Stegostoma tigrinum: one gene and its partners. The protein of the gene in region 4 purifies or fractionates together with the protein of the main gene of each other region. This does not show direct contact. Links are inferred from orthologs where the notes say so. Each region holds a gene or a part of one and is shown on either strand. Other genes may lie near its edges.

Evidence for each region.
Region 1: the proteins of vapb (region 4) and tacc1 purify together in Homo sapiens (affinity purification with mass spectrometry; 3 studies listed by BioGRID and IntAct, counting the BioPlex papers as one, with this or other methods). This does not show direct contact. The link is inferred for Stegostoma tigrinum from reciprocal best matches to the Homo sapiens genes VAPB and TACC1.
Region 2: the proteins of vapb (region 4) and akap11 purify together in Homo sapiens (affinity purification with mass spectrometry; 3 studies listed by BioGRID and IntAct, counting the BioPlex papers as one, with this or other methods). This does not show direct contact. The link is inferred for Stegostoma tigrinum from reciprocal best matches to the Homo sapiens genes VAPB and AKAP11.
Region 3: the proteins of vapb (region 4) and miga2 purify together in Homo sapiens (affinity purification with mass spectrometry; 3 studies listed by BioGRID and IntAct, counting the BioPlex papers as one, with this or other methods). This does not show direct contact. The link is inferred for Stegostoma tigrinum from reciprocal best matches to the Homo sapiens genes VAPB and MIGA2.

Annotation. Positions count from the first base shown.
Region 1 is NC_081393.1:12,117,891-12,125,421, reverse strand, and holds the start of tacc1 (transforming acidic coiled-coil-containing protein 1), read right to left. Parts: upstream 3,009-7,531; 5' UTR 2,779-3,008; coding exon 2,405-2,778; intron 1-2,404. UniProt on the Homo sapiens protein: Involved in transcription regulation induced by nuclear receptors, including in T3 thyroid hormone and all-trans retinoic acid pathways. Might promote the nuclear localization of the receptors.
Region 2 is NC_081365.1:80,434,271-80,442,248, reverse strand, and holds the start of akap11 (A-kinase anchor protein 11), read right to left. Parts: upstream 3,004-7,978; 5' UTR 2,884-3,003; intron 1-2,883. UniProt on the Homo sapiens protein: Binds to type II regulatory subunits of protein kinase A and anchors/targets them.
Region 3 is NC_081382.1:42,576,519-42,584,321, reverse strand, and holds the start of miga2 (mitoguardin 2), read right to left. Parts: upstream 3,012-7,803; 5' UTR 2,937-3,011; exon of another isoform or gene 2,855-2,936; intron 1-2,854. UniProt on the Homo sapiens protein: Regulator of mitochondrial fusion: acts by forming homo- and heterodimers at the mitochondrial outer membrane and facilitating the formation of PLD6/MitoPLD dimers. May act by regulating phospholipid metabolism via PLD6/MitoPLD.
Region 4 is NC_081372.1:60,747,268-60,754,409, forward strand, and holds the start of vapb (vesicle-associated membrane protein-associated protein B/C), read right to left. Parts: upstream 3,004-7,142; 5' UTR 2,945-3,003; coding exon 2,887-2,944; intron 1-2,886. UniProt on the Homo sapiens protein: Endoplasmic reticulum (ER)-anchored protein that mediates the formation of contact sites between the ER and endosomes via interaction with FFAT motif-containing proteins such as STARD3 or WDR44.

The DNA of each region.
Region 1 (7,531 bases), on a different chromosome or scaffold from region 4:
CTCTAAAATAGATGACCCCCTTAATCCGAGATGGTGTCCTCTGGTCCTCCACTTCCCCGTGCAGAGAAACAACTGTTACACATCAATTCTGTCAAGCCCCCAAGAATCTTTTTGAAGGTTTCATTAGCTGTCTCTCATTCTTCTAAACTCCAATGAGTACAAGCCCAACCTATTCAACCTGGCCTCATACATCAGTCCGTCCATACCTGGGATCAGCCTGGTGAACCTTCTCTGGACTACCTGAATGCCAGTATATTTTTTCTTAAATAAAGGGATCAAAGCTGTTCACAGTATTCTGAAATGTGGTGTCCTGAGACCCTTGTCTAGTTTTAGCAAAGACTTCCCCATATTTATACATCATTCCCTTTGAAATGACAACGAATATTGTCCTTCACTGTTACCTGCTGAAGTTGTATCCATAAGGAATCCAAAATCCTTCTGCAGTCTTTATCCATTTAAATAACATTCAGCTCTTCTGTTCTTCCTACCAAGGGACGTATCCTCACATTTTCCCGCATTGTATTCCACCTGCCAAGTTTTTTGCTGACTCATGTTTTCCAGGGTATCTCGATGCAGCAATGTTAGATAGCATCACTTCTCATTACATTAAAATTGAGATGCAGGAACATAATATGAAAACTCCAACATATATTAATCCAACTCACAAAACGAAACAAATATTACATTAACAGGTGACTTCCATGTCTGGGCTAACCTTCAGCCATTCAGTTACAAAGAGTTAATCAGCGTGTCAAGCTTCAAGTGGCCCAAGTTAAAACGGAGTCAAGACCTTTATACCCTCAGGCCACATGCTGTGACATAGTCATGATATCCTGAGCTTGTCTCTGATCAAAATACTGACCAAGAGACATACACAACAGTCTCCATCCTCCCTGATTGAAACACCTTCATCCCGTCCCTTTCCCACTATGTAAATAATCAATGAGTCATCCAGCCCATCAATACAGACAAGATAGATCAACACTTGCTCGTTTTAGGGCTAAGCTCACTTGATGGAGCCTGGAACTGTACAATGAGCAGAGCTGCTGTTGCACAAGTTGCGGTGCAGGTGAAAACATGTTTGGATTGCATCTTGCACATTGTCCTGAAAGCAAACAGTTGGATTCATTTTCCCCTGAGATATTACCTTGTTCTTCAGTTCCCCACACAGCCACCATGCCTGACAAAGGGCAAAGTGCACACTGACTGTTCAACCGACCATTTTCAAAGTAATTTTATGAACAGAGCATCTACGACAGTCATGACATACATCTCTTTGCAAATTCACTCCCTTTGTCGAATAGCAGGCACTTCACTTGGAAACTGACAAAGCAAATAAGAACGCTGAGAGAGGAGGTGCATAACATTAATAGAGAGCTGCCACTCTTGTTATGGATGCTGGGATAGGTTTACCTCCATCCAGAGTGTTCATTTTCCATCAAAACTGTGGGATTGCCATGGACTTGGGAGCAGACTGGGTCAGGTGATTTTGAGGCCTTGTGAAAAGCTCCGGCTGTTGATTGGATCTGGTCACCCGGTTCTTTCCCCCTGAGGTTAATATCCCTGGCAGGCCACATGACCACAAAGATCCCTCAATATTCTCCACTCCGCAGGGTAAAAGCTCAGTCAAAATGTACTTCTCAAAGCAAGAGTTAACAAGAGGAGATAAAAGGGTTAAAGGAACAGCAGTAACACTGCAGCAAGTCTGTTGTGGATTTACATTTTCTATGCTAGTGCTTGAAGTTTATTATCAATTATGAACACTGATATAACCCAGCTGGGTGCAGTTGAACTTGGAAGAGGTGTCTGTAAAGGCACATGAGCAGTTTCTTCTTGTAAACAAGAGTGTGACTGAAACTCATGACATTGCAGTGCACCACAAGCTGGATCAGTCAATCAAGACCAGCCAACATGGGTCTGGATCAGAATTCTCATCTTTCCAAAATAGAATTCCTTCAGTGAATGGATGGGGAAACTGGGGCACTTCCTCCCTGTAATGAAATGAATGTCAAACAGACTAGGCCTAGTGGCTCATGAATAATTTTTAGAAAAGAAATGAAAACAGAAGCGAGACAATGATAGAATCTTTTTGAACAGACAAGCTGACCTTGATTTGCTGGTTCCCACTGATACCACTCACAGCTCACCCTGTTCTCAGATCTTTGCAACATGGATAAATTCTCAAAATAAGGGATGGTACAAGAAAAAAACACATTGACCAGAACATACATTAGATGAACACCACATATGATACACTTGCATTTAAAACGGAATTAGCCACTCAAGCCTGTATGCAGTGGCTGAGCAAATGACACTTAAAAAGAAAGAGATAGACTAAAATCGAATTGGTAACTAGTTACTCCCGCATTGAAACTGAAAGATGGTTAGATGATGGGTGACTTACATGCTGGCCTTCTCTTTTAAAGGTCTCACCCCTCCCTTGAGCTGGTGCTGGGACTGAGACCCTCCCATTCTGAATTTTTTGTCAGTGGTCGCAGAGATGCCCGTGATGCTGAAAGAGGCTCTCACAGAGTCACACACACACAGACACAGAGAGCCTTCAATGCTGCAGTGGGACTGCAGCTCCTGCATTGACGGCTTGAGTTCTTCGGGCTGCTGAACTCTTGCCAGATCCTGAACCAATCGCATGCCAGCAACGTCGCCTTGAGCCAAGGCTGCACATAACTGGACAGTGCAAAAAAACACAATAGACTCAAATAAAGTCACTGGAGAGGAATTCGAGAGTCCCTGGGACTTGGCTGCGGGGTAAAAACTCATCCAGATTACAGCGGGATGTGTGTTCGAAGTTGCTGTCTGAAAGTAGTAAAGGCTTTCTCTCCGTGATTACATTCCGGGGCACACGAGGCTTCTCCCAAAGAATGCCTGACCACAAGGGTGCGTTTCTTTATCTCTCTCGCGTTGATGTTTCTCTACCTCAGGAACAAAATGGGCTGTCCCAGCCAGCACATTCCAAGCCCGCAAACAGACAGCACTTTGCCCTGCAGGACGAGTGCGTGTGCAGCAAGCTCAGTGAGCAAGGGCAGAATTAGTATATAGATTCACCAAATGCCCCCGTGCAATTCCGTCACTGAGTTCGAGCTGCTGCTTTCTGTTCAAGGAAGGAAGTTACACATTCTTTGCAGATTTCCAGCCCAACCCTGGCTACTCTCATGCTGCAGAACAGCAGGTTAAAAACAAATGATGTTAGCATTTTTTGCTAAGGCAAAGAGTGAGTTGTATTACGAGATAGGTATTGGCCTAAGCGTTGCAATGTCCATTTTGCTGGTACTAAAGCGATTATCTGCTGACAGATTTATCTGCGTCCAGTCTGAAAAGGGCTTGCTGGACATCTAATTTAGGATTAAACACTGACATCTTTCTGCTGGATGAATGAAACAACCTGTTGTAAGTCTACCGCATCCCAAAACCAGCCCAGATAATAAAATGTGAGGCTGGATGAACACAGCAGGCCAAGCAGCATCTCAGGAGCACAAAAGCTGACGTTTCGGGCCTAGACCCTTCATCAGAGAGGGGGATGGGGGGAGGGAACTGGAATAAATAGGGAGAGAGGGGGAGGCGGACCGAAGATGGAGAGTAAAGAAGATAGGTGGAGAGGGTGTAGGTGGGGAGGTAGGGAGGGGATAGGTCAGTCCTGCTTGGCCTGCTGTGTTCATCCAGCCTCACATTTTATTATCTCGGAATCTCCAGCATCTGCAGTTCCCATTATCTCCAAAACCAGCCCAGTTCGTCCCCTCCCCCCACTGCATCACACAACCAGCCCAGCTCTTCCCCTCCCCCTACTGCATCCCAAAACCAGTCCAGCCTGTCTCTGCCTCCCTAACCTGTTCTTCCTCTCACCCATCCCTTTGTCCCACCTCAAGCCGCGCCTCCATCTCCTACCTACTAACCTCATCCCACCTCCTTGACCTGTCCGTCTTCCCTGGACTGACCTATCCCCTCCCTACCTCCCCACCTATACTCTCCTCTCCACCTATCTTCTTTTCTCTCCATCTTCAGTCCGCCTCCCCCTCTTTATTTATTCCAGTTCCTTCTCCCCATCCCCCTCTCTGATGAAGGGTCTAGGCCCGAAACGTAAGCTTTTGTGCTCCTGAGATGCTGCTTGGCCTGCTGTGTTCATCCAGCTTCACACTTTGTTATCTTGGATTCTCCAGCATCTGCAGTTCCCATTATCTCTGTTGTAAGTCTCCATTGTCAGAAGCGGATGAGCACCCATAAGTGGGTAGAAATTGGCTAAATGCTTTGTAGAGTTGAGAGCACTTTCCTCCATTTGAGTTGAGGTTGGAAGTTTATTCCCCTGACAACAAAGTGCAAGGGAAACATTTTGGCTCAGAGATGGTCTGGTATTTGCATTCAAGCAGTCGCATTAAGTCATTAACCTGGTCACCAGAAACCAGCACCTCCACATGAGAATGCTTCCTTGGATTGTGGCAGTTTGGCAATGTTGTGGCTTGAAGAGGTGTGTTTTGTCTTGATTCCTTTTAGACTGAGATTGGGCGGCAGGCACCAGGTAGTCTATGAGAAGATAAACTTGTGAAGCCATGGATTTTTTTTAATCAGTTGGAACAATAGAAGTGGCCTGAAAGGGTGGGGTCAGGTTCCCATCCACAGAACCAGGGATTTTAGTTTTAGCTTTCAGCAGTTGTTGTTGGAATCTGGAAGAAATTAAAGGCATTTTTACCTTCTCTCGGTTACAGCCAAATTCTAGAGGTTCTCTGTCTGTTAATAGAGTTGTGTATGAGACAATCTACGTTCTGAATTTGGATTTTGCCAAGGGTGTGTTTGTGGGATGTTGCAATATTGGACAAGGTAATTGTTACTGTATCTATTATTGTGTTAAGTTTTCCAATAGAGTTAAGTTATTCCAATGACAAAAATAGAAATTGCTGGAAAAGCTCAGCCAGTCTGGCAACATTTGTGGAGAGATTTCAGAGTTAACATTTTGGGTCGAGTGATCCTGCCTCAGAACTGAAGGGAAGGCTCACTCAACCCGAAACGTGAACTGTGTTTTCTCTTAATAGATGCTGTCAGACCTGCTGAGCTTTTACAGCAATTTCTATGTTTGTCTCTGACTTTTAACTTCTGTAGTTCTTTCAGTTTTTATTTTGTAAGTTATTCCAATTCCTTTATTCTTTTGTTGTGTTTTAATGATAGGAGATGAATAAAGTGTATTTTGCTTTAAATGAGAAGATAAATCAGAAGTAGTCTGAACAAACAAATTGCATCTCGAACACAACACCTTACATTTAGCTTCAAAATCAGAAAAGGTTTGGGTCTAGTCCATCTTCTGAGGGGTTTTGGTGTGGTCCATAACAGGAAAGCTCGGTCTGCAGACTCAGCTCAGTCATATGACAAGTTGTTCAGGTACTTTTTTTTGGCAGACACTTTACTTCCGAGCTGCCACCCATTAGCTGGCACCTTCACATGGCTGGCACTGGGAACTGTGTGCTAAAGGACAGTTGCTTTGCACGTCATACATGCAGGTTGGGAGGATTAAATCAATAATCAGCAGAAAGTCTGTGTTTTCAGTGTGTGAGCATCCAGGAAAAGGTGACAGATGTGATGCCATCTGTTCAGAATGAAAAAGCCAAAAACCAACCCACGGTAACTTCAGGTGCAGCATATGAGGTTAACAGCCACCTGGTAACTGCGTCATCAGATCTCATGGGCCCCTGGTACCTGGCAAGGAGAAGATTGCAGTTCAGTTCAGCTCTACCGTGCTTCTGTCTGTGTGGACAATATTTAACACTTGTTTAATTTGGACAAGCTTGGAGACCAGCCCAGCCATGCATATCTCCCAGAACCTGCTTGTGACATTCCTACATCAGGCAGACTGATCCTGTTTCGTGCACACAAAAGGCCAATTGATTCATGTGTTACTGTACCATCACACCCAATGTGTGCTTGTGTATTCACTATCAGTCTCTGCCACTGTTTTTCTCCTGTCTCTCAGATGATGGGCAATATGTTGCACTTAGAATTGGATTCACCAATTATATATACACATCCGTACAACACACACAGGTTATGTGTGTATAAAAACATTCTTCCATGGCAGTGCCCAGATCAATCAGAAGTGAACTGACAACTAATCAAAACCTTTTTCACACATAGTACAAATTGTTGTTCCCTTTCAAATTTGAAATTCTTGCAATTCTGTCCAGATGAGTGCCAAACAAGAGAAACTTAAACAACATCCCTCTATTTTCAGCAAAGGTCAACTCTTTCTAAAACAAAATTCAGATGGTTGACTCATGAATATAACTTAAAAAGGCTTATAACAACAACATCATCTTGCATATATGTCATGCCTTTAAAACAGTAAGGTGTCCCAAATTGTTTCACAGCTGCATCAGCAAACGAAATTTGACACCAGTCACAAAATGATTCAGATGGAAGACGTCGGTTTTAAGGAAGGTATTAAAAGATGAGAGGCAGGTGGAGAGAGAAATGAGGGTACAAGTTTCAACATTTTACAAGCAGGAGCTGAAGGAATGCTCACCATTGCGTGTGTCATTGAATCTTGCAATACTTAAGAGGCCAGAGTTAGAAGCCAGCAGATATCTTGAGGAGCTGTGGGTTGGTGGAGGTTAAAGCGATCCAGAGAGATGGAGGGATGTGAAAACCCAGGATGAAAGCACAAAATATTTTTCTTTGTTGCCGGTGCTCCGAGGATACTTGATCGTTAAGCTTATTGCATTATTGTAGGCATTGAAACTTTCTAGACTAGATTCCCTACAGTGTGGAAACAGGCCCTTCTGCCCCACAAGTCCACACTGCCCCTTGAAGCATCCCACTCAGACTCATCCTCCTATAACCCACACACCCCTGAACACTATGGGCAATTTATCATAGTCGATCTACCTAGCCTGCACATCTTTTGGACTGTGGGAGAAAACCGGAGCATCCAGAGGAAACCCACGCAGACACAGGGAGAATGTGCAAACTCCACACAGACAGTCGCCCGAGGCTGGAATCGAACCTGGGTCCCTGGCGCTGTGAGGCTGCAATGCTAACCACTGAGCCACCGTGCCGCCCCGTGTCTCAGTCCTAAAATGGTAACAGGGTTTCACTCCCTGAGGGAAGCCCAAACATATAAGTGGATCTGTCGCTGTTGTTGCAAGTCCAGCATTGACAGTGGGAAATGTCGTCATCACTCAACTCTGCACCAAGACTGTCCATTCTTATGACTGGCTGACAGAACAAGATGTACTGATAATCCATGAAAGATAAACATTCCCTTTTCATTATTTACTTCAGCGTTAACAATTGTTCAAAATAATGGAAAGAGGAAGGAAGTGAAACAAGACACACTTACGAGAATGAGTTCAGGTGATCAGAGAGCAGGAAGAGGAAGTCTTTGTACCATAAAGGCAGAGGGGGGTTCACTGTTTTGTGACAAGTGCTGACTTTGGCACTGTTACCAGTCCTTCCTTTCAAACAGCCTTGTTATATGCTATGCTAATTGTTGTATGAAGTGTCATGAGAACTAAAGGAGGGATTTGCATTTATA
Region 2 (7,978 bases), on a different chromosome or scaffold from region 4:
ACCATTGCCAAACATTAACAGACCGTGTAGAATTGGTTGGCTTGTACTCGTAATGCCCACATTTCCCATCTCAAAGACATTCTCAATTGCACTGGACAAACTCTGGTTAACAGCTGTTGTTGAAACTATTAGATACTGACAGGCCTGCTGAAGACATCAATTTTCAATTCCCATTTCCATCAGGCTGCTTCTATTCTGACCAGATCCTTTTCTTGGCATGTTACATCACTGACCTAAGACTGAAGCCACATCCTGAAAATCTGACTCCCCCAAGAAAAGCAATATCTGCCTAGACCAGTCATCCTGGATATCTTGGAGTTCCCAGTAGCCTGCTCACTGTCTCCTGCTCCGGCTGACATGAAATACCTCTCGTGATCGTCCCAGTGCCGATCAACCTTCAATAGACTAGCAGGCAACCAACCAACTAGGGTACATTACATTCTCTACTGTACATTAGTGTGTGATATGATAATGCATTATGTACTTAAAAATCACTTGCATCAAAGCCACAGAATTGTATTTCTACTGCCAATGTTTTTTTAATTTTAAGTTGCAGCTACAGCAGTTATACACAAGCATTCTCTTAACTGACTCAAAACATCAATCTACACTTGATCTGTGGCCTCATTAAATCAGTGCCATTGGAAACAATGGGGATATGTGGGGAAAAACAAGCAACAATGTGTGCTTGGTTCCCAACAAATGCCCTAACAGTGGCACTGGCTGCAAATCTCAGAAGTGGCAGAGCCAAGAGCAATTTACAAGCGTTTCTTATAGGCTCTTCGAGGCTCAGCACCTTGTGAGCATGGAGTCTCAAGCATTCGTGTTTCTGGACTGTCAGCGCTGCAATTGCCTGTTACTTGATAAAATTCATTTGGAAGTGTCAAGCAAAACATCTTTTACCAACTTGCATTGTAGTTCCTTAGTTACCTCAAATCTGTCCGAGTGATTATCGTTTCTTTAACCCTACCCACTATTGATGCTAAACTAGCTGACTAGAGCCATCAGGACTGCCCTTAAACTCTCCTGAATAAAAAAGGTGACACTTACTAAACTTCTGGCCTCTCAGCATATCTGAGGCAGGTTAAAGACTTGCACTATTTCCACGTCTACTACCTTTAACAAATCTGAGATACAAACCAAGTGAGTGATGCATTCTTAGCCTAGAAACATTTCCATCCAACTTGCCTATCATTTTTCAGCCTATTTACTGCTACCACTGTATCTGCTCCACTGATATTTTGTCAGCATCAATTCACTTCATAACCATCAATATTAAGTACTTACTGTGTGTGTCCCTGCTCCTCTAAACCATATGTAATGCTCTTTCTCTCTAATAGGTCCCACTTCACCCTTTACTACATGCTTTGAATTTTTTTTAAGCCTGAGGTTTTTACTGTTAAAACATTCCCTCTTTGGCAGTCTCATTTTCCTGAACTCTCCCCTCCAGAGTGTATATGATTCGATTCTCACTTCAAGAATTTACCCAACATGCAACAAACTTCTCATTTCATGATTTTCTCTAGTTACTTCATCATCAAGGGAGGCCTGACATTGATTCCCTTACCATTCACCCATGTTAGATTGCACTAAGCCTGTACCTAAAACATTTCTGCCTTAAAGAGTAAGAATTATTTACTTGTGCCTTAGTACAGCATCTTACAAAGGGTTATTCCTTAATAGTTCCCTTAAAGTTTTTCCTGTAAGTCTCTGGTTCCACTGTACCATGGTCCTCTGCCCGCATTCTAGTTAAACTAGCTGTCTTATAATTTTCTTTTGTTTGTTCCTGCCTCTTCTCCCTCATTAATGTAAGCCTTCTTACAATGAAGATTCTTACCCAAGTGCTCCCCCCAAACAGTACACAAGATTTAGCAATGCCCTCTTCTAGTTGCTCCAGAAACCCAACCAAAAGCTCATTTCAAATTTATCCTCCACACCCTTTACTGTAACATTGAACTAATTGATTTGCAGTGAAATTAAAGCAGCCCATTAGCACTAATCCACAGCTCTTGCACATCCCTATGATTTCCCTGCAGATGTGCATCACTCATCATTTTGAGGCATATAGAATATCATATAGTGTGATCATACCTTGTTGACACTAACCAAATAGACTGTATCCTTGCCTCAAGGGCAGACCCTCTTTCCATGGTTACAATGACTTCTTTAACTCAATGCTCTACTTTTTTTGAACACTCAATTTCCTTGAATATTAAACTCTAAGTCCTCAATTTTTCACCCTCCATTCTGGAGGGAAAAAAATATTATATTGTCACAATGCTGTTTGTGCTTACAATCTATCAACCTTATTTATCACACTTTGCACATTTAAATTCATGTATGTAATTAGCAAAAGAATTGGCAGTTAGGCTAAATATTCATGAAGGCTGGGTTTCCCCCCCCCCCCCCCCCTTCACCGAGAACACCTTCCTTTACAAAGCGAGAAATCAAGAGTTTAACGTTCTGGGTCGGGTGGCCCTCAGAACCGGGGTCACTGGTTCCAGTAACTTGAAGCACAACCAGTCCCTGGGTGGTCCTTGCCCCAGAGCAGCTCCCAAGGTCTCATCATGTCCCTTCATCCTGCAACAGGCCTTCACCCACAATAGGAGTCTCAATGCCTTCCTATTCCTTCTCTCAGCACTGGAATAAAAGTCAACAAAATAAGGCACCCAGGCACGTGTCAGCCCCCAAACACGCAACCTACCTGCCGGAATGTAACCCCGGTTCGGGTCTGACCCCCGCGCCCAGAGGGATCTGATGGGGGGGGGGAAGGCAGTTCCCCTTTCCGCCCGTGTGGCCCGCGGCCCACTCGACCCTCACCATAAACCCCCACCATTACCCAGTTACCGCCTACACCGCCCCCACGTTACCCCGGCCTCTCACCCGCTCTGGTCCCGGCCCCACCGCCACAATCCAGCACCGAGTCAGGACGCGCACTAGGCCACAGGAATTGAGGGCAGAACCAAGCGCCAAATCAATCAAACAGGGAGACACGGAGAAGGAGAGTGGGATAGAGAACAGGAAGGTTAAAGGTCACAGCTCCGTCCATTGACCAATCGGAATGAAGCTATATGAACGAGCTCTTGGAGTGTTGGCCAGTCAGAATAAAGGGTTGTCAACCAATCAGTGCGAGAGGCCATTGACCAATCAGAGTCAGGCAGCGCTGACCAATCAGAGCGAACACATATGGTCCAATCAGAGTGAGGCGGTGTCCCTCAGTTTGCCAGAACATGTACATTGAGATCAGTGATAATGGGAACTGCAGATGCTGGAGAATCCAAGATAATAAAATGTGGAGCTGGATGAACACAGCAGGCCCAGCAGCATCTCAGGAGCACAAAAGCTGATGTTTCGGGCCTAGACCCTTCATCAGAGAGGGGGATGGGGAGAGGGAACTGGAATAAATAGGGAGAGAGGGGGAGGTGGTCTGAAGATGGAGAGTAAAGAAGATAGGTGGGGAGGTAGAGAGGGGATAGGTCAGTCCAGGGAAGATGGACAGGTCAAGGAGGCGGAATGAGGTTAGTAGGTAGGAAATGGAGGTGCGGCTTGGGGTGGGAGGAAGGGATGGGCGAGAGGAAGAACAGGTTAGGGAGGCCGAGACAGGTTGGACTGGTTTTGGGATGCAGTGGGTGGAGGGAATGAGCTGGGCTTGTTTTGGGATGCAGTGGGGGGAGGGGACAGGCTGGGCTGGTTTTGGGATGCAGTGGGGGGAGGGGAGATTTTGAAGCTGGTGAAGTCCACATTGATACCATTGGGCTGCAGGGTTCCCAAGTGGAATATGAGTTGCTGTTCTTGCAACCTTCGGGTGGCATTATTGTGGTACTGCAGGAGGCCCATGATGGACATGTCATCTGAGGAATGGAAGGGAGAGTTATAAAATTGTTCGCGACTGGGAGGTGCTGTTTTTTATTGCGAACCAAGCGGAGGTGTTCTGCAAAGCAGTCCCCAAGCCTCCGCTTGGTTTCCCCAATGTAGAGGAAGCCACACCGGGTACAATGGATGCAGTATACTACACTGGCAGATGTGCAGGTGAACCTCTGCTTAATATGGAAAATCATTTTGCGGCCTGGGATAGGGGTGAGGGAGGAGGTGTGGGGCAAGTGTAGCACTTTCTGTGGTTACAGGGGAAGGTGCCGGGTGTGGTGGGGTTGATGAGGAGTGTGGAGCGGACAAGGGAGTCGCGGAGAGAGTGGTCTCTCCGAAAGGCAGACAAGGGTGGGGATGGAAAAATAGCTTGGATGGTGGGGATGGATTGTAGATGGCGAAAGTGTCGGAGGAGGATGTGTTGTATCCGGAGGTTGGTGGGGTGATATGTGAGAACGAGGGGGATCCTCTGGAGGCGGTTGTGGTGGGGGCAGGGTGTGAGGGATGTGTTGCGGGAAATGTGGGAGACGCGGTCAAGGGCGTTCTCGACCACTGCGGGGGGAAAGTTGCAGTCCTTGAAGAACGTGGACCTCTGGGATGTGCGGGAGTGGAATGCCTCATCCTGGGAGGAGATGAGGCGGAGGAATTGGGAATAGGGAATGGAATTTTTGCAGGAGGGTGGGTGGGAGGAGGTGTGTTCTAGGTAGCCGTGGGAGTCGGTGGGCTTGAATTGGACATCAGTTTCTAGCTGGTTGCCTGAGATGGAGACTGAGAGGTCCAGGAAGGTGAGGGATGTGTTGGAGATGGCCCAGGTGAACTTGAGGTTGGGGTGGAAGGTGTTGGTGAAGTGGATGAACTGTTCGAGCTCCTCTGGGGAGCAAGAGGTGGCACCGATACAGTCATCAATGTAACGGAGGAAGAGGTGGGGTTTGGGGCCTGTGTAGGTGCAGAGGAGGGACTGTTCCACGTAACCTACAAAGAGGCAGGCATAGCTTGGGCCCATGCGGGTGCCCATGGCCACCCCCTTTGTCTGTAGGAAGTGGGAGGAATCAAAAGAGAAGTTGTTGAGGGTGAGGACGAGTTCGGCTAGACGGCTGAGGGTGTCGGTGGAGGGGGATTGGTCGGGCCTGCAGGACAGGAAGAAGCGGCGGGCCTTAAGGCCATCTGCATGAGGAATGCAGGTGTATCGGGACTGGAGGTCCATGATGAAAATGAAGTGTTGGGGGCCAGGGAATTGGAAGTTCTGGAGGAGCTGGAGGGCGTGGGTGGTGTCACGGACATAGGTGGGGAGTTCCTGGATCAAGGGGGAGAAAATGGAGTCCAGATAGGTGGAGATGAGTTAGGTCAGCCAGGGCGGGCGGGTTTTTGGATTTTGGGAAGGAGATAGAAACAGGCCGTGCGGGGTTGGGGAACAATAAGGTTGGAGTCTGTGGGTGGGAGGTGCCCTGAGGTGATGAGGCCATGGATGGTATTGGAGATGGTGGTTTGGTGCTCAGGGGTGGGGTCATGATCAAGGGGCAGTTGGAAGAGGTGTCGGAGAGTTGGCGTTTGGCCTCGGCAATGTAGAGGTCAGTGCGCCATACTACAACTGCGCCTCCCTTGTCTGCAGGTTTGATGGTGACGTTGGGGTTGGAGCGGAGGGAACGGAGGGCTGCCCGTTCTGCGGGGGAGAGGTTGGACTGGGTGAGAGTGGTGGAGAGGTTGAGGCGGTTGATGTCTCAACATCAGTTGGCGATGAAGAGGTCGAGGGAGGGTAGGAGGCCTGGGGTTGGTGTCCAGGAAGAGGACTTGTGTTGGAGGCGGGTGAAGGGGTCAGTGGAGGGAGGGTTAGGTTCCCGGTTAAAGAAGTAAGCGTGGAGGAGAAGGCGGTGGAAAAAATACTCGATGTCCAAACGTGACTGGTATTCGTTGATGTGTGGGTGGAGGGGGACAAAGGTGAGCCCCTTGCTTGGGACTGACCATTCATCCTCAGTCAGTGGGAGGTCTGCGGGGATGGTGAAGATTCGGCAGGGCTCAGTGTGGCTGTCCTTTGAAAGGTCGGTGTGGTCTTGATTTTTTAAAATTTCCTTTATTCTCATGGTGGATTGAATATAAAATGCAGTGAAAAGCATGTACTGTCGCTCTGTGCATGTACTGTTCACATAGTAAAAACACAATAACTTAAAGAGGGTCTAAACTTCCCTTCACCTTTGCTACTGCATGCCGCCACCAGAGTCATGCTGCAGGCTTCCAGCCTACGCCGTGCCACTATGAGTGTCTCTCAGCCCCTCTGACGCCCTAGGACATGGCCCCTCCGTCACTCTGGGGATAGGGCCCCTCCATCAGCCGCCTCAGGCTGCCTTCTCCCATCTGCTACCAGTCACACCTCCAGCTTGTGCTCTCTGCCCACATGATGCTCCATGGCTGCTTCCCCACAAACTGCTATGGAGTTCTTCTCCATGCAGCTCCTGTGCTCGCTGCTGACAGTGTTCTGGGGCATGAGGGCTCACTGCTCTGGACTTGCTGCCAGCTTCAGTGCTGAGGGTAGAGGAGAAAAAAAGAAAGGAAAAAGAACAGGTGGAGCACAGGAGTTCTGACAGCTCTGATGAGCTGAATGGCCTGCATCCACACTGTAGGGATTCTGTTCTCTTCTACATTTGTGAAAAGATTGATATTGGTGACCAGGGAGGGTGATAACTGTCTCATGGTCCCTATGCCCATTTCCCTGCAGAATGCCTGTTCACTTCTGCAAAAGACCATCTGTCAGCTTATTGTGAATGACTATATGCTACCAGTGGCCTTGATGGAAACATCTGTCCGGGATAATGACACCTTTTTTATGGCTGAAGCCTCCCTTTCTGGCTATTTCTTTGATCTCTAGGTCCATCAGGCTCGTTGTAGTTTCCTCCCTTGGACTCTCCAACAAATGTCTTCTTATCCTCAATGATTTTAATCTCCATCTCAACTCACCATGTCTAACTCTAACTTCACTGGCTACTTATCATCACTATCTCTTCTCTATCGGAATACCCTCCCCAGATTAGAAATATAGCCAGCTCTACACCTTGTTATCTCATTTTTCAAAGGTTGTAAGGTTGCCAGCATCCACTACCTCCCTGGGCTGTACTTTCTAGATTCCCACCACCCTCTGAGAGAAAAAGCTTTTTTCTCAAACCCTGTCTGAATCTGCTGCGCCTTATGCTAAAAGTGGGCCTTCTTGTGATTGAAGCCTCAACCAAGGGGAATAGCTGCTCTCTACTCTCCCTGCCCATACCCCTCATAATCTTATGCACATCAATCATCTCCCTCTCAGCCTCCTCTATTTTTGAGAAAACAATCCTGTAACTGACAACCATCTTCTTCACTATTGAGCATCCAGCAGCCTTTGTGTTGTCTGAAAACTTGCTTAACATCCCCCGTTTATGTATATAACAAACAATATGCGTCTCAGACTGATCCTTGTGGCGTATTGCTGGAAGTTGGCATCCAGTCACTTGGACAGCTTTCTACTTCTACTCTTTGTATCCTATTACGAAGCCGGTTTCTGATCCATCTCATCATCTTCATAATCAGTTTCCCCTGTGGGACCTTGTCAAATGCTTTGCTAAAGTCTGTATAAACTACATCAACTGAGCTTCCTTCATCCACACACTTGATCACATTTTTGAAAAATTCTGTGACCTCCTTCTGACAAAGCCATGCTGACTGTTTGTAATTTACCTATGCTTTTCCCAAGTGGATGTTAATTCTCTCCTTAAAAAATTTCTCCAATAGTTTCCCTATCATGACATGATACTCACCAGTCTGTAATTTCCCTGGTTCATCTCAACCAACTTTCTTGAAAAGTGGAACCACATTAACTCTTCTCCAGTTCTCTGGCACTCCCCCTGTGGCCACAGAGGCATTAAAAATTTGTGTCAGAGCCCTTTCAATTTCCTGCTTAGTGTCCCACAACAATTTGGGATGCAATTCTCCCAGGTCAGGAGATTTCCCTGTTTTTAAGCCTGACAGAGTCTCCAGAGGGTTTCAGAATGTGCTTTGGGTAAGGGACTGTGCCAGAAGTTGTGATACACATCAGACCAATAATGTAGTGTCTAAGAAGAGTGTTTAGTAAGTATGAAGATACACAGTTTCT
Region 3 (7,803 bases), on a different chromosome or scaffold from region 4:
ATTTTATAAACGTCTATAAAGATCACCCCTCAACCTCCGACCCTCCAGTGAAAAGAGTCCCAGCCTATCCAGTCTATTTTTACAAGCCAAGCTCTCCAGTCCCAGCAACATCCTAGTAATTATTTTCGGAACCCCCTCCAATTTAATAATATTCTTTCTTATGCAGGGAGACCAGGACCAGTACACCAGAAGGGGCCTCACCAACATCCTGTTCAACCTCAACATGTCATCCCAACTCCTATCCTCAAAGGTCTGAGCAATGAAGACAAGTTTGCTAAAAACCCTCTTAACCATTTTGTCTACTGTTGACACTAATCTCAAAGATTTACGTACCTGAACCCCAAGGTCCCTCTGTTCTGCAATACTACCTGGGCCCTACCATTAATTGTATAAGTCCTGCCCTTTGTTTGTTTTACCCAAAAGCAATACCTTGTATTCATCCAAATTAGACTTAGTCAGCCAGTCTTCAGCCCATTGACCCAACTGAACAATTTGTTGATCAGGATAAAGGGAACTGCAGTTGCTGGAGAATCTGAGATAATAAAATGTGGAGCTGGATGAACACAGCAGGCCAAGCAGCATCTTAGGAGCACAAAAGCTGACGTTTCGGGCCTAGAAGGGTCTAGGCCCGAAATGTCAGCTTTTGTGCTCCTAAGATGCTGCTTGGCCTGCTGTGTTCATCCAGCTCCATACATTGATGATCAGGATATTGTCTTTTTGTGATTAGATAAACTTCTTCACAGTCCACTATACCACCAATTTTAGTGTCATCCACAGATTTACAAACCATGCTTTCTATATTCTCAAACAGTTTATCTAAATGACAAACAAAAATGGATGCAGTACCAATGCCTGTGAAACACCGCTTGTCACAGGTCTCCAGTCTAAAAAAATCCTCCTTTGTACAAGGGATAACCAGAGCATTTGTTTTTTCACCCAATTCCCATCAACTCCAGCTTTACTTAGGCTCCTTGATGCCACACTTGGGGAAATGCTGTCTCTTGTCAAGGGCAGTCACTCTCACCTCACCCCTGGAGTTCAGTGTTTATGTCCATGTTAAGACATGGCTGTCGCGATGTCAGGAGTTGTGTGGCTGAGCAAGTCATAACTAATTTACAAGCTCGTCACAAACAAGCCGCACAGGACACAAAGGCTGCCTGCTGCAGTCACTCTCCAAAAGGTAGGCCTGAGGAACACTGAGAGAACAAGGTGTAGAGCTGGAGGAACACAGCAGGCCAAGCTGCATCAGAGAAGCAGGAAGGCTGATGTTTTGGGCCTAGTGTTCCTCCAGTTCTACACCTTGTTATCGCAGATGCTCCAGCATGTGCAGTTCCTACTATCCCCGAGGAACACTACTGGGCCACCAGGAAGGAAGAGTCCAAGTTGTTGAAACACAAAAAAAATCCCTAAAAGTGTAAGTGCAGGTTAACGATACTCAGAAATAGGTCGACAGTATTTTGAGTTTACAAAAGAGGGTATTGAGATACAAATATTTAACAAAAAAACAATTTAACGCAAAAAAAGCATTGGCTAGAATGTGAGTAATGTACACACTGCTTTGGACATTTTATTATAGAAAGACAATTACAGCCACAGAGTAAGGATAATGCAGACACACTCATTATAAATGTGAAGAGGAAACAGAGGGCATTTCTACCAGAGAAGGGATTACTATGGCATAGTTAACAGAGTGTAGAGCAAGAGAAAGAATTCTGAAGAAGTGAGATATTGAACTCTGCGAGATGAGTCCAGATTCAAAGAACTAAACGGAATTTTGTAGGAGAGAAACAGGCCATCCAGCCCAAAAGATTGACATGTATATTACACGTATGCCCCCTCCTATTCCCTATATCAAACCCTCATCAGGATACCCATCTATCTCTTGCTGTCTCTCACCTGTGTATCCAGCTTCCCCTTGAGCACATGTATGGTTCTCACCTTCTCCACTCCATGTGACACCAAGAAAATCCACACTTTCTGAATCACATCTGTCCAGAATTTGAGCAGCCACAACAGGAAAGAAACAACTTTGGTTTTTCAGGATAGAAGCGGTTGGGAGAGAGGGGAAGCAGAGGGATGTGAGAATGAACAGAAGATTGGGGGCTAGAGAGATCATGAAGGGACACCAAGAGAAGGGGGGTTTGGAGGGTGAACGCAGAACAGTCATAGCTCATGCACCACTTCGACTGATCACTCAGCATGGTGAGGCAGCACACTAGTCACTGGCACTTGAGAAAGAGAGGGCAACCTCCACTTCACAGGGGGGCCCCCAATGACAGGATGCAACTCGCTCTTCAGGGTCCCATGCAGCTTCCAGGTAAGAAAGGCTCGACGAACCTTAGTACCAGCTGACGCCGGAGATCATGCCGGATCCAGGTGGCTCATCCACCATCCGATCCGGTTTTGATTCCACCCTTTGGGGGACCATCTGGGTGGAGCGTGCACATTCTCCCCATGCCTGCATGGGCTTCCTCCCACAGTCCAAGGGTGTGCAGATTAGGAGGGTTAGCCATGGTACATTGCGTCCAGGAACGTGCAGTCTAGGTGGATGAGCTATGGTGGTGGTGGGGAAGGAGCAGGTGATCATCAGAGGGCTGGTGCAGACCAGATGGACCGAATGGCCTCTTTCCGCACTGTAAGGGGGGGGGGTTCTAGGATCTGAAACAAACAAGAGAAACTCAGCAGGTCTGGCGGGCATCTGTGTACAGAGGGGGAGAAGCAGAGATAACGGTCGGAGTCCGGTTACCCTTTGCTGCTGATGATGAGGAGGAGGAGGATGAGGAGAAATGGTGGCTTTTACCTAAATCCTGCAAACGCCGGGGGAAGGGAACCGAAAGATACATGAACCTCTCACCTTACCTACAAGAAAGGTTTACTCAGCGAGCCAAGTGGGTTATTCTGAGAATTAACAAACCGTCCCTCCCTCCTTCACTCACCGACCCGCACAGCACTCGCCCTTGGCTTTTCATTCCCCCATCAGAGGACAAGTCCACCCCTCCCCCCTACTCCGACCACAACCAAACCTGCTCGCCGGACGTCCCACCCCGACTGACAGCGGCCTTTACCAATAGGAGAACGGGCTCCCGCCGGGCCTGACGTCATCCCACCAATAGAAAGGCCGCGGTGGCGGGCGCTGCGCCTCATCAGGTTTGGTTGAAGACGAAGACAGGGGTGGGTCACGTGATCGGGGCGGGACGTGGTCATTCATTGGTCGAAAGAGTACTGATTGGCGGTTAGGGAACCAATCATCGGTCCCGCCCGTGGGAAAAAAATTGACCATTTAACAGCAATTCCAATTTGGGGATTTCACATATTCCAAACATTCACAAATAATTTCCAAATTTATTACCTGGCAATCAACTTTTACAATAACTGCACACAACATGCCTAGCAAAATAGACTAAATGGTACATTTGTTGGACAGACAATGTTTGAAGGTGGCAAGACAATATCAAAATCTGTTACTCGCATGAAAATTCTTCATATTTTAGCACAGAACATGAAAAAGAATAACTCTTGCTAAATCTTAATAAACCGCAATAAACAAATTGATAAATCACACATCATGGCTCTTCTGCAATACTATGTACAATCTTGGGCAGCCCACTTTTGGAAGGAAATGTCAAAGCACTTGATTGGAAAGCTACCAGAGATAAGAAACTTCAATTACATGGAAATACTGGAAGACCTGGGTTTGTCCGCTTTAAACCAGAGAAGTGTAGCGATAGCGTTATTGAATGAACATAAGCCTCTGAGATATGCTGTGAAACTGCAATCTCGGTAGTCATGTCATGAAGCCTCTGCCAGAAGTTGGAACTAGAGGAAATCAGCTTCTATATTGTCATGTTTTTAATGTCAATAAATATTGTTCAAAGAAACCTACAGGTCTGGCCTAATGAGCTTACACAAAGAACAGGAAAGCCATACTAAAACAAAGTAGGATAAGACAAACTTGCATTTATTTAGTATTGCCTCTGTGACTAAATCTATTCTTGATGGTTTCATTGCATGACTTGCACATGTCCCCAGCAAACCAATTTCCAGCTATTCATCAGACATTTGGCAGCGCATACACATGGGGTGGCATGGTGGCTCAGTGGTTAGCACTGCTGTCTAACTGCACCAGGGACCTGGATTTGATTCCACCCTGTGTGGCGTTTGCATATTCTCCCATGTCTGTGTAGGTTTCCTCCAGGTGCTCCAGTTTCCTCCCATAGTCCAGAGATGTGCAGGTTAGGATGTGTTGGCCGTGCTAAATTGCCCATAGTGAGCAGGGAGGTGTAGATTAGGTGGGTTATAGGCAGGTGGGTCTGGGATGCTGTGAGGGTTGGTGTGTGCTTGTTGGGCCAAAGGGCCTGTTTCCACACTGTAGGGATTGAACGATGATGATACTTGCCATTCTGACACACTGCCTTCCTCCTTGTGTGGGTTGACTATCACCCAAACAGACTTTGTTCCCCCAAATTTTCAATATTTTTGCATCTGGCAAAGGGAAATGTATAAAAACAAAATTAAAAAATCAATGCTTTGATTTATCTCCAGAGGTTGCACACAGCAGTGACAACACAATGGGCAATACTAAAGGTGTGAGAATCCAAAGCTTCTGAGAAAAATAGAGGAGATGGAAAGGACACCAACAGGAAATTCCAGAATAATTGACTTTGCTTTGTGGAATAAAGATTCATCAATGTAAGCATAGCAAGCATCTTAAGTTTTGATCTGTATCATCTTTTGATGAATATAAAGGCAGTGTCCTGTAGATTGATCTTCAATTTCCTGAGACTCCAGGCCTTGTCTAGAGCATTAGCAACCCTATATAACACTGCTTATGACATCTCAATGTTCTTAATTCCAATTGACATTGTGCCTGACAGATTGGTACAAAAGGTGGAGTTACATGGTATCAGGGGTGAGCTGGCAAGATGGTTACAGAACTGGCTTAGTCATAGGAGGCAGACGGTAGCGGAGGAAAGATGCTTTTCAGAATGGAGGACAGTGACTACCAGTGTTCCACAGGGATCAATACTGGGACCTCTGCCATTTGTGGTCTACATAAATGATTTGGAGAAAATTAGCTGAACTAATTAGTAAGCTTGCAGACAGTACAAAGAATGGTGGAATTGCAGACAGTGAGGAGGATTGTCAGAGGATACAGCAGGATATAGATCAGTTGGAGGCATGGGCAGAAATATGGGAGTTTTTCTTAAACCAGATGGAGTTTAATCTGAACAAATGTGAGGTGATGCATTTTGGAAGGTCAGGTACAGGTGGAAGTTATACAGCGAATGGCAGAACCCTTAGGAGCATTGATATGCAGAGGGATCTGGATGTGCAGGTCCACAGATCACTGAAGGTGACAGCGCAGGGAGATGAGGCAGTAAAAAGGGCCTATGGCATCCTTACCTTCATTGGAAGGGGCATTGAGTATAAGGGTAGGCAAGTTATGTTAATAAAAACTGAAAGAATGACTGATGCTGTAAATCAGGAACAAAAACAAAGTTGCTGGAAAAGCCCAGCAGGTCTGGCAGCATCCGTGAAGGAGAAAACAGAGTTAACATTTCGGGTCTGGTGACCCTTCCTCAGAACTCAATAGAACGCTGTTCTGAGGAAGGGTCACCGGACCCGAAACGCTAACTCTGTTTTTTCTTCACAGATGCTGCCAGCCCTGCTGAGCTTTTCCAGAAACTTTGTTTTTGTTCTAGACAAGTTATGCTGCAGGTTTATAAAACTTTAGTTAGACACAACTCGGAATATAGTGTACAGTTCTGGTCATCACACTACCAGAAGGATGTGCATGCTTTGGAGAGGGTACAGATAAGGTTTACCAGGATGTTGCCTGGTATGGGGGATTTTAGCTATGAAGAAGGGTTAGATAGACTAGGTTTGTTTTCACTGGAATGCAGTGGGTTGAGGGGCAACCTGCAGAAGTTTATAAGATCGTGAATGGGATGGATAGAGTGGAAAGTAGGAGGATTTTTCCTAGGGTGGATGGTTCATTTAGAAGGGGACACAGGTTCAAGGTTAGGAGGGGGAGTTTAAAAGAAATGTGAGAGGCACTTTTTCCACACAAAGGGTGGTGACTGCCTGGAATGAACTGCCGGAGGAGCTGGTGGAAGCAGACACAATGACACCATTCAAGAAGCACCTGGTCAAATACACGAATAGGAAGGGAATAGAGGGATATGGATGCTGGAATTGAAGACAGTTTTAGTATGAAAGGGCAAAATGTGTCAGCTCAGGCTTGGAGGGCCACAGGGCCGGTTCCTGTGCTGTATTGTTCTTTGTTCTAATAAAGTATGTTACCAGCGCACCACTGCTGTAATGTGGCAATTATTTTGAAAAGTCTTCTACATTTCTGAAATTATAGCATGTATTTCCTACTTGAGTCCAAATTACTCCATAGTCTTAATAAGAACCAAAAGAACTGGGGATGCTGTAAATCAGGAGCAAAAGCAAAGTTGCTGGTAAAGCTCTGATGAAGGGTCTAGGCCCGAAACGTCAGCTTTTGTGCTCCTGAGATGCTGCTGGGCCTGCTGTGTTCATCCAGCCTCACACTTTGTTATATTGCTGGAAAAGCTCAGCAGGTCTGGCAGCATCTGTGGAGGAGAAAAAAGAGTTAACGTTAACTGCAGTTCTGAGGAAGGGTCACCGGACTGCAGTTATCGTTAACTCTGTTTTCTCCTCCACAGATGCTGCGAGACCTGCTGAGCTTTTCTAGCAACTTTGTTTCTGCTCCATAGTCTTATCTCCTTAACCTCCTTCAAATCCACAATCTTCTACGATCTCAGCACTCCCAATTCCAATCTAACACATATCCTGATTCCACTTCATGATTTTCCTAACGTCTGATCCTCAAACTGTCCTCCTTCAAGATGCACCTTTAAAACCCATATGTCAGATCAGTCTCTTCTTATATCTCCAAAAGGTTTGGTGTCAAATGTTGTTTGATAACATTGCTAGATATGTCTTGATAAGTTTTAACATTAAAGATGTGTTGTTGTTCACGCATCCACATTCTGGGGAAGCTTGGTCAGATCACTTTTTATGTTTTATGTTTGCAAAATGGGGAAGAGGGGTCATAGTCAGAGGGGTATGGTCTATCCCGTCCAATAGCTTCACAGAAATTCCTCTCAGTGCCAGGTTTGGAATCATTCTGCCAAAGGAACAGGACTTAAACCTTTATTTTCTGGTTAAAATTTAATTCACCTTTCTGAATGTTGCAACCGTATGTCAATGATTCCAAACTTGGATGGCCACATCAATGTGTCACACTTTTGACATTGGTGGCTCTGGATCATTAAAATTCTGCTAAAGCTTCTGTTTTTAACCAGCTGGAAAGTGTGCCTGGATGCAACAAGTCTAAGATTTTTCATGATTTTTCCCTTTCCTTCGATCACCGTGAGACATTTTTATCATGAGCTGTTGGACAACCAGTGAGTCATGGAAGTTTGATACTGTTTGTTGGATTGTACACTGGGTAGAAAGGAGGGGGAGGGGATAGGAGGGAAGGGGAAGATGGCAAAGGAGGGAAGAGAAGTGAGCAGAGGTTGAGGCTGGGGAAGTCTAAAACTAGGAGACATATCTGAAATATTAGAGCTAGCTTGTTTAGGAAGATCCTGAGGCAGCATCTTCCAAACCCATGGTAACTAGAAGGATAATAGCAATAGATATGGGAATACCATCCCCTGAAAGTTCCCCTCCAAACCAATCACCATCCTGACTTGGAAATATATCGTCATTTCTTCCCTCCCTGAGGGAATTGTGGGTCAACCTACAGCACATGGACTGCAGCAGTTGAAGAAG
Region 4 (7,142 bases):
CGGGGGGGGAGGGGGGGACGAGCGTCGGGGGGGGAGGAGCGTCGGGGGGGGACGGGGGGGGGAGAGGAGGGGACGGGGGGGGGAGAGGAGGGGACGGGGGGGGGAGAGGAGGGGACGGGGGGGGAGAGGAGGGGACGGGGGGGGGAGAGGAGGGGACGGGGGGGGGAGAGGAGGGGACGGGGGGGGGAGAGGAGGGGACGGGGGGGGGAGAGAGGAGGGGACGGGGGGGGGGAGAGAGGAGGGGACGGGGGGGGGGAGAGGAGGGGACGGGGGGGGGAGAGGAGGGGACGGGGGGGGGAGAGGAGGGGACGGGGGGGGGGAGAGGAGGGGACGGGGGGGGGGGAGAGAGGAGGGGACGGGGGGGGGGGAGAGAGGAGGGGACGGGGGGGGGGAGAGAGGAGGGGACGGGGGGGGGGAGAGGAGGGGACGGGGGGGGGGAGAGGAGGGGACGGGGGGGGGGAGAGGAGGGGACGGGGGGGGGAGAGGAGGGGACGGGGGGGGGAGAGGAGGGGACGGGGGGGGAGAGGAGGGGACGGGGGGGGGGAGAGGAGGGGAGGGGGGGGAGAGGAGGGGAGGGGGGGGGGAGAGGAGGGGAGGGGGGGGGGAGAGGAGGGGATGGGGGGGGGAGAGGAGGGGGGGGGAGAAGAGGAGGGGGGGGGGAGAAGAGGAGGGGACGGGGGGGGGGGAAGAGGAGGGGACGGGGGGGGTGGGAAGAGGAGGGGACGGGGGGGGGGTGGGAAGAGGAGGGGACGGGGGGGGGGGTGGGAAGAGGAGGGGACGGGGGGGGGTGGGAAGAGGAGGGGACGGGGGGGGGTGGGAAGAGGAGGGGACGGGGGGGGTGGGAAGAGGAGGGGACGGGGGGGGTGGGAAGAGGAGGGGACGGGGGGGGGGTGGGAAGAGGAGGGGACGGGGGGGGGGTGGGAAGAGGAGGGGACGGGGGGGGGTGGGAAGAGGAGGGGACGGGGGGGGGGTGGGAAGAGGAGGGGACGGGGGGGGGGGGTGGGAAGAGGAGGGGACGGGGGGGGGGGTGGGAAGAGGAGGGGACGGGGGGGGGTGGGAAGAGGAGGGGACGGGGGGGGGTGGGAAGAGGAGGGGACGGGGGGGGGTGGGAAGAGGAGGGGACGGGGGGGGGTGGGAAGAGGAGGGGACGGGGGGGGGGTGGGAAGAGGAGGGGACGGGGGGGGGGTGGGAAGAGGAGGGGACGGGGGGGGGGTGGGAAGAGGAGGGGACGGGGGGGGGTGGGAAGAGGAGGGGACGGGGGGGGGGGAGAGGAGGGGACGGGGGGGGAGAGGAGGGGACGGGGGGGGGAGAGGAGAGGAGGGGACGGGGGGGGGAGAGGAGAGGAGGGGACGGGGGGGTGGGAAGAGGAGGGGACGGGGGGGGGGTGGGAAGAGGAGGGGACGGGGGGGGGGTGGGAAGAGGAGGGGACGGGGGGGGGGTGGGAAGAGGAGGGGACGGGGGGGGGAGAGGAGGGGACGGGGGGGGAGAGGAGGGGACGGGGGGGGGAGAGGAGAGGAGGGGACGGGGGGGGGAGAGGAGAGGAGGGGACGGGGGGGTGGGAAGAGGAGGGGACGGGGGGGGGGGAGAGGAGGGGACGGGGGGGGAGAGGAGGGGACGGGGGGGGGAGAGGAGAGGAGGGGACGGGGGGGGGAGAGGAGAGGAGGGGACGGGGGGGTGGGAAGAGGAGGGGACGGGGGGGGGGTGGGAAGAGGAGGGGACGGGGGGGGGGTGGGAAGAGGAGGGGACGGGGGGGGGGTGGGAAGAGGAGGGGACGGGGGGGGGGTGGGAAGAGGAGGGGACGGGGGGGGGGTGGGAAGAGGAGGGGACGGGGGGGGGTGGGAAGAGGAGGGGACGGGGGGGGTGGGAAGAGGAGGGGACGGGGGGGGGTGGGAAGAGGAGGGGACGGGGGGGGGGGTGGGAAGAGGAGGGGACGGGGGGGGGGGTGGGAAGAGGAGGGGACGGGGGGGGGTGGGATGAGGAGGGGACGGGGGGGGGTGGGAAGAGGAGGGGACGGGGGGGGGAGAGGAGGGGACGGGGGGGGAGAGGAGGGGACGGGGGGGGGAGAGGAGGGGACGGGGGGGGGAGAGGAGGGGACGGGGGGGGGAGAGGAGAGGAGGGGACGGGGGGGGGAGAGGAGAGGAGGGGACGGGGGGGGTGGGGAGAGGAGGGGACGGGGGGGGTGGGGAGAGGAGGGGACGGGGGGGGTGGGGAGAGGAGGGGACGGGGGGGGGTGGGGAGAGGAGGGGACGGGGGGGGGTGGGGAGAGGAGGGGACGGGGGGGGGTGGGGAGAGGAGGGGACGGGGGGGGGTGGGGAGAGGAGGGGACGGGGGGGGGTGGGGAGAGGAGGGGACGGGGGGGGTGGGGAGAGGAGGGGACGGGGGGGGGAGAGGAGGGGACGGGGGGGGGAGAGGAGGGGACGGGGGGGGAGAGGAGGGGACGGGGGGGGGAGAGGAGGGGACGGGGGGGGAGAGGAGGGGACGGGGGGGGGAGAGGAGGGGACGGGGGGGGGAGAGGAGGGGACGGGGGGGGGGGGGGAGAGGAGGGGACGGGGGGGGTGGGGGGAAGGGATATGTTGGGGATATGAGTTACGGGGGTGTGGGGAGGTGGGCGGGTTACAGGGGGATTGTGGGGTGGTGTCAAGGGTTGGGGTGTCGGTCGCCCAGAGGCCAATGCCACATTCTCAGGAGCTGTTACCGTGGGCACTGCCTGCTGTTCCCGGCCTCCCCCCTGCCCGCCGTTCCCACTGACGGGCCGATCCCTCCTCCCATCGCCGGCGTCAGCGGCCGCCTGAACTGTTCCGGTGCGGCTCTAATTTGAAGGGAGTCCGCACACGGGTGGCCTGCCCTTAGAAATGACACTGAACAAGCCCAGCACCAGCCTCTTACCTCGGAATTTGAGCTCGTTGGGCGGCTCCAAGACGAGTAGCTGCTCCGGGCGCGCCATGGCCGACACAGAGAGAAGGAGGGAGGGAGAGGCTGACGTCAGCACCTGCCCAGCACTGACCCCTGTGGCCGGAGACTGAACTGCAGCAACAGGATCCCAGTAAATGGTTCAACCCTCAGCCCAAAACTCCCAGGCATACCGTAAAAACCCTCAAAAACGCCGAGGTGAACCCTCAAACTCCCTGCAATACTCGAAGAACCCCCAAAACTCCCAGGTGAATCCTCAACCTCCTAGAAATGCGCTAAAAACACAAAAACTCTCAGATGAATCCTCAAGCTACCTGGAATACCCTAAAAACCACAAAACTTCTGGGTGATCCCTCAAACTATATGGAATACCCCAAAACCTGAAAACCCCATAGGGTGAAGTCTTGAACCCCCCCGGGTACCCTCAAACTCCAAAAACCTGTAGATGAACCTTCCAACCCAAACATCTACAAATGGGCTGAATCCTAAAACCCCGTGGGAATCCCTCAACCACAAGGGGTGAATCCTCAACCCTCATCGTGTGACCCTATGGAGACCCTAACCTCTCCCCAAAATAAACAAGTTGAACTCTCAAAACCCTATGGGGAATCTTTAAGCATCCCGCTGCCCCTAAACCTGCCAAAAGAAAGAGGAAAAATGACATCACCAACCCGAGGAAACCTAAACAGATAAATAGAAAGCAGGACATAACACCAGCGCTTCACCGGAGGCTCACTGATGATGTTACCTAGAATGGTGACGAAACGTCTGAAAACTAACCTTCCAGCTCAGCGAGCAAACTCACATCCAGAAACTCAACCTGAGCTACAAATGTTCTCAAAACTTGCTAAAGAGAAAAACACTCAAATCCCATGGGGGTAAAATTCAAATCCTCAAACCCCTTGGAAGTAGACCAAAACCCAGGAATCCAAACAGTGAACTCTCATACCCCATTGGGGGACCCTAAATCTCCAAACTCACCATCTTACTTTTAATTTTTTGTAATTATTTCTCTGCCTCAATTAATCAGATTATAGGTCATCCCTTCACTTGCTATTCAGCTGTTGACACTCACACCATCTGACACTTTTGATCACCTCCAGAGACTTGTTAAAAACCGAAAGAACTGCAGGTGCTGTACATCAGTAACAAAAACAAAACCACTGGAAAAGTTTCAGGCCTGGTTCTGAGGAAGGGTCTCTGGGCCTGAAACGTTAACTCTGTTTTTTCCTTCACTGGCATTGCCAGACTTGCTGAGCTTTTCCAGCAACTTTGTTTTTGTTCCAGAGACTTGTTATTCAGCCTGGCATTTGTCAGATCTCTTGATCTCTCTGCCAATAAATTCTGTGCCTCGGTGCTTCTCTTCACTTCATCTGTGCTTCAAAAGCTTCTGATTTCAGATAAACTAGTTGGGCTATAATTTGGTGTCGTATGGCTTCTGACCTTCTCTGAAAAGAGAAATAAGTGGGAAAAATACTCAAATCCCTTGGGGAACACATTTGGGAGGCTGAGGAGGTAATTGAGAGGAGTTACAGAGAGGTAGTCACACCTCAGGTACAGGAAAAATGTAGATGGGCTACAGACAGGGGACAAAAAGGGAACAGGCAGACAGTGCAGGGATCCCCTGTGGCCATTCCCCTCAATATCAACTATACCATTTTGGATACTGTTTGGGAGGATGACTTACCAGGGGTAAGCCATGGGGTACAGGTCTCTGGCACAGAGTCTGCCGCTGTTGCTCGGAAGGGAAGGGGGGAGAGGAGGAGAGCATTAGTCATTGGGGACTCCATAGTTAGGGGGACAGATAGGAGATTCTGTGGGACCTCATGGTCGGTGTGTTGCCTCCCAGGTGTCAGGGTCTGTGACGTCTCGGATCGTGTTTTCAGGATCCTCAAGGGGGAGGGGGAGCAGCCCCAAGTTGTAGTCCACACAGGCCCCAATGACATAGATAGGAAAAGCATAGGGATGTGAGGCAGAAATTCAATGAGTGAGTGTGGAAGCTTAGAGCTCGAACAAACAGAGTTGTTATCTCTGGTTTGTTACCCGTGCCACATGCTAGCGAGGCAAGGAATAGGGAGCGAGAACAGTTGAACATGTGGCTGCAGAGATGATGCAAGAGGGAGGGATTCAGATACCTGGATAATTGGGGGTCATTCTGGGGTAGGTGGGACCTCAACAAAAGGGATGGTCTACAACTGAACCAGAGGGGTACCAATATCCTGGGGGTGAAATTTGCTAATGCTCTTCAGGAGGGTTTAAACTAATTCAGCAGGGAGATGAGAACCTGATTTGTAGCTCCAGTGTACTGGAGGTTCAGAGTAGTGAAGTCGTAAATAAGGTTTCAAGGTCACAGGAGTGTACCGGCAGGCAGGAAGGTGGTTCGAAGTATGTCTACTTCAATGTCAGGAGCGTCCGGAATAAGGTGGTTGAACTTGCAGCATGGGTTGGTACCTGGGACTTCGATGTTGTAGCCATTTCAGAGACATGGATAGAGCAGGGACAGGAATGGTTGTTGCATGTTCCAGGGTTTAGATGTTTCAGTAAGATCAGGGAAGGTGGTAAAAGTGGGCTGGTGTGGCATTGTTAGTCAAGGGCAGCATTACAGTGGCAGAAAGGATGTTTGATGAGAACTCTTCTACTGAGGTAGTATGGGCTGAGGTTAGAAACAGGAAAGGAGAGGTCACCCTGTTGGGAGTTTTCTATCAGCCTCTGAGAAGTTCCAGAGATGTAGAGGAAAGAATTGCCAAGACGATTCTGGATAGGAGCAAAGGTGCAGGGTAGTTGTTATGGGGGACTTTAACTTTCCAAATATTGCCTGGAAATCCTATAGTTCGAGTACATTAGATGGGTCAGTTTTTGTCCAATGTGTGCAGGAGGGTTTCCCGACACAGTATGTAGATAGGCCAGCAAGAGGTGAGGCAACATTGGATTTGGTTTTGTGTAATGAACCAGGCCAAATGTTAAATTTGGGGGAGGTGTGCACTTCGGTGATAGTGACCACAATTTGATTATGTTTACTTTAGCGATGGAAAGGGATAGGTATATACCACAGGGCAAGAGTTATAGCTGGGGGAAAGGCAATTACGATGAGATGCGGCAAGATTTAGGATGCATAGGATGGAGAAGGAAACTGCAGGGGCTGGGCACAATTGAAATGTGGAGCTTGTTCAAAGAACAGCTACTGCGTGTCCTTGATAAGTATGTACCTGTCAGGCACGGAGGAAGTGGTTGAGCGAGGGAACCATGGTTTACTAAAGAAGTTGAATCTCTTATCAAGAGGAAGAGGGAGGTTAATGTAAAGATGAGGCGTGAAGGCTCAGTTAGGGTGCTTGAGAATTACAAGTTAGCCAAGGAGGACCGAAAAAGAGAGCTAAGGAGAGCCAGAAGGGGACATGAGAAGTCTTCTGCAGGTAGGACAAGGAAAACTCTAAAGCTTTCTATAGGTATGTCAGGAATAAAAGAATAACTAGAGTAAGATTAGGTTCAGTCAAGGACAGTAGTGGGAAGTTGTGCATGGAGTCTGAAGAGACAGGAGAGGCGCTAAATAAATACTTTTCGACAGTACTCACACATGAAAAAGACAATGTAGTCGAGGATATTACTGAGATACAGCCTATTAGACTAGACGGGATAGAGGTTCACAAGGAGGAGGTGTTAGTAATTCTGGAAGGTGTGAAAAAAGTAAGTCCCCTGGGCTGGATGGGATGTATCCTAGGATTCTCTGGGAAACTAGGAAGGAGATTGCAGAGCCTTTGGCTTTGATCTTTATGTCGCCATTATGTTCAAGAATAGTGCCAGAAGACTGGAGGATAGCAAATGTTGTTCCCTTGTTCAAGAAGGGGAGGAGGGACAATCCTGGTAATTACAGGCCAGTGAGGCTTACTTCAGTTGTGGATAAAGTGTTGGAAAGGATTATAAGAGATAGGATTTATAATCATCTAGAAAGGAGTAATTTGATTAGGTATAGTTAACACAGTTTTGTGAAGTGTAGGTCATGCCTCACAAACCTTATTGAGTTCTTTGAGAAGGTGACCAAACAGGTGGATGAGGGTGAAGTGGTTGATGTGGTGTATATGGATTTCAGTTAAGCATTTGATAAGGTTCCCCACGGTAGGCTATTGCATAAAATACGTGGTCATGAGATTGAGGGTGATTTAGCAGTTTGGATCAGAAATTGGCTTGCTGGAAGAAGGCAGAGGGTGGTGGTTGAAGGGAAATGTTCATCCTGGAGT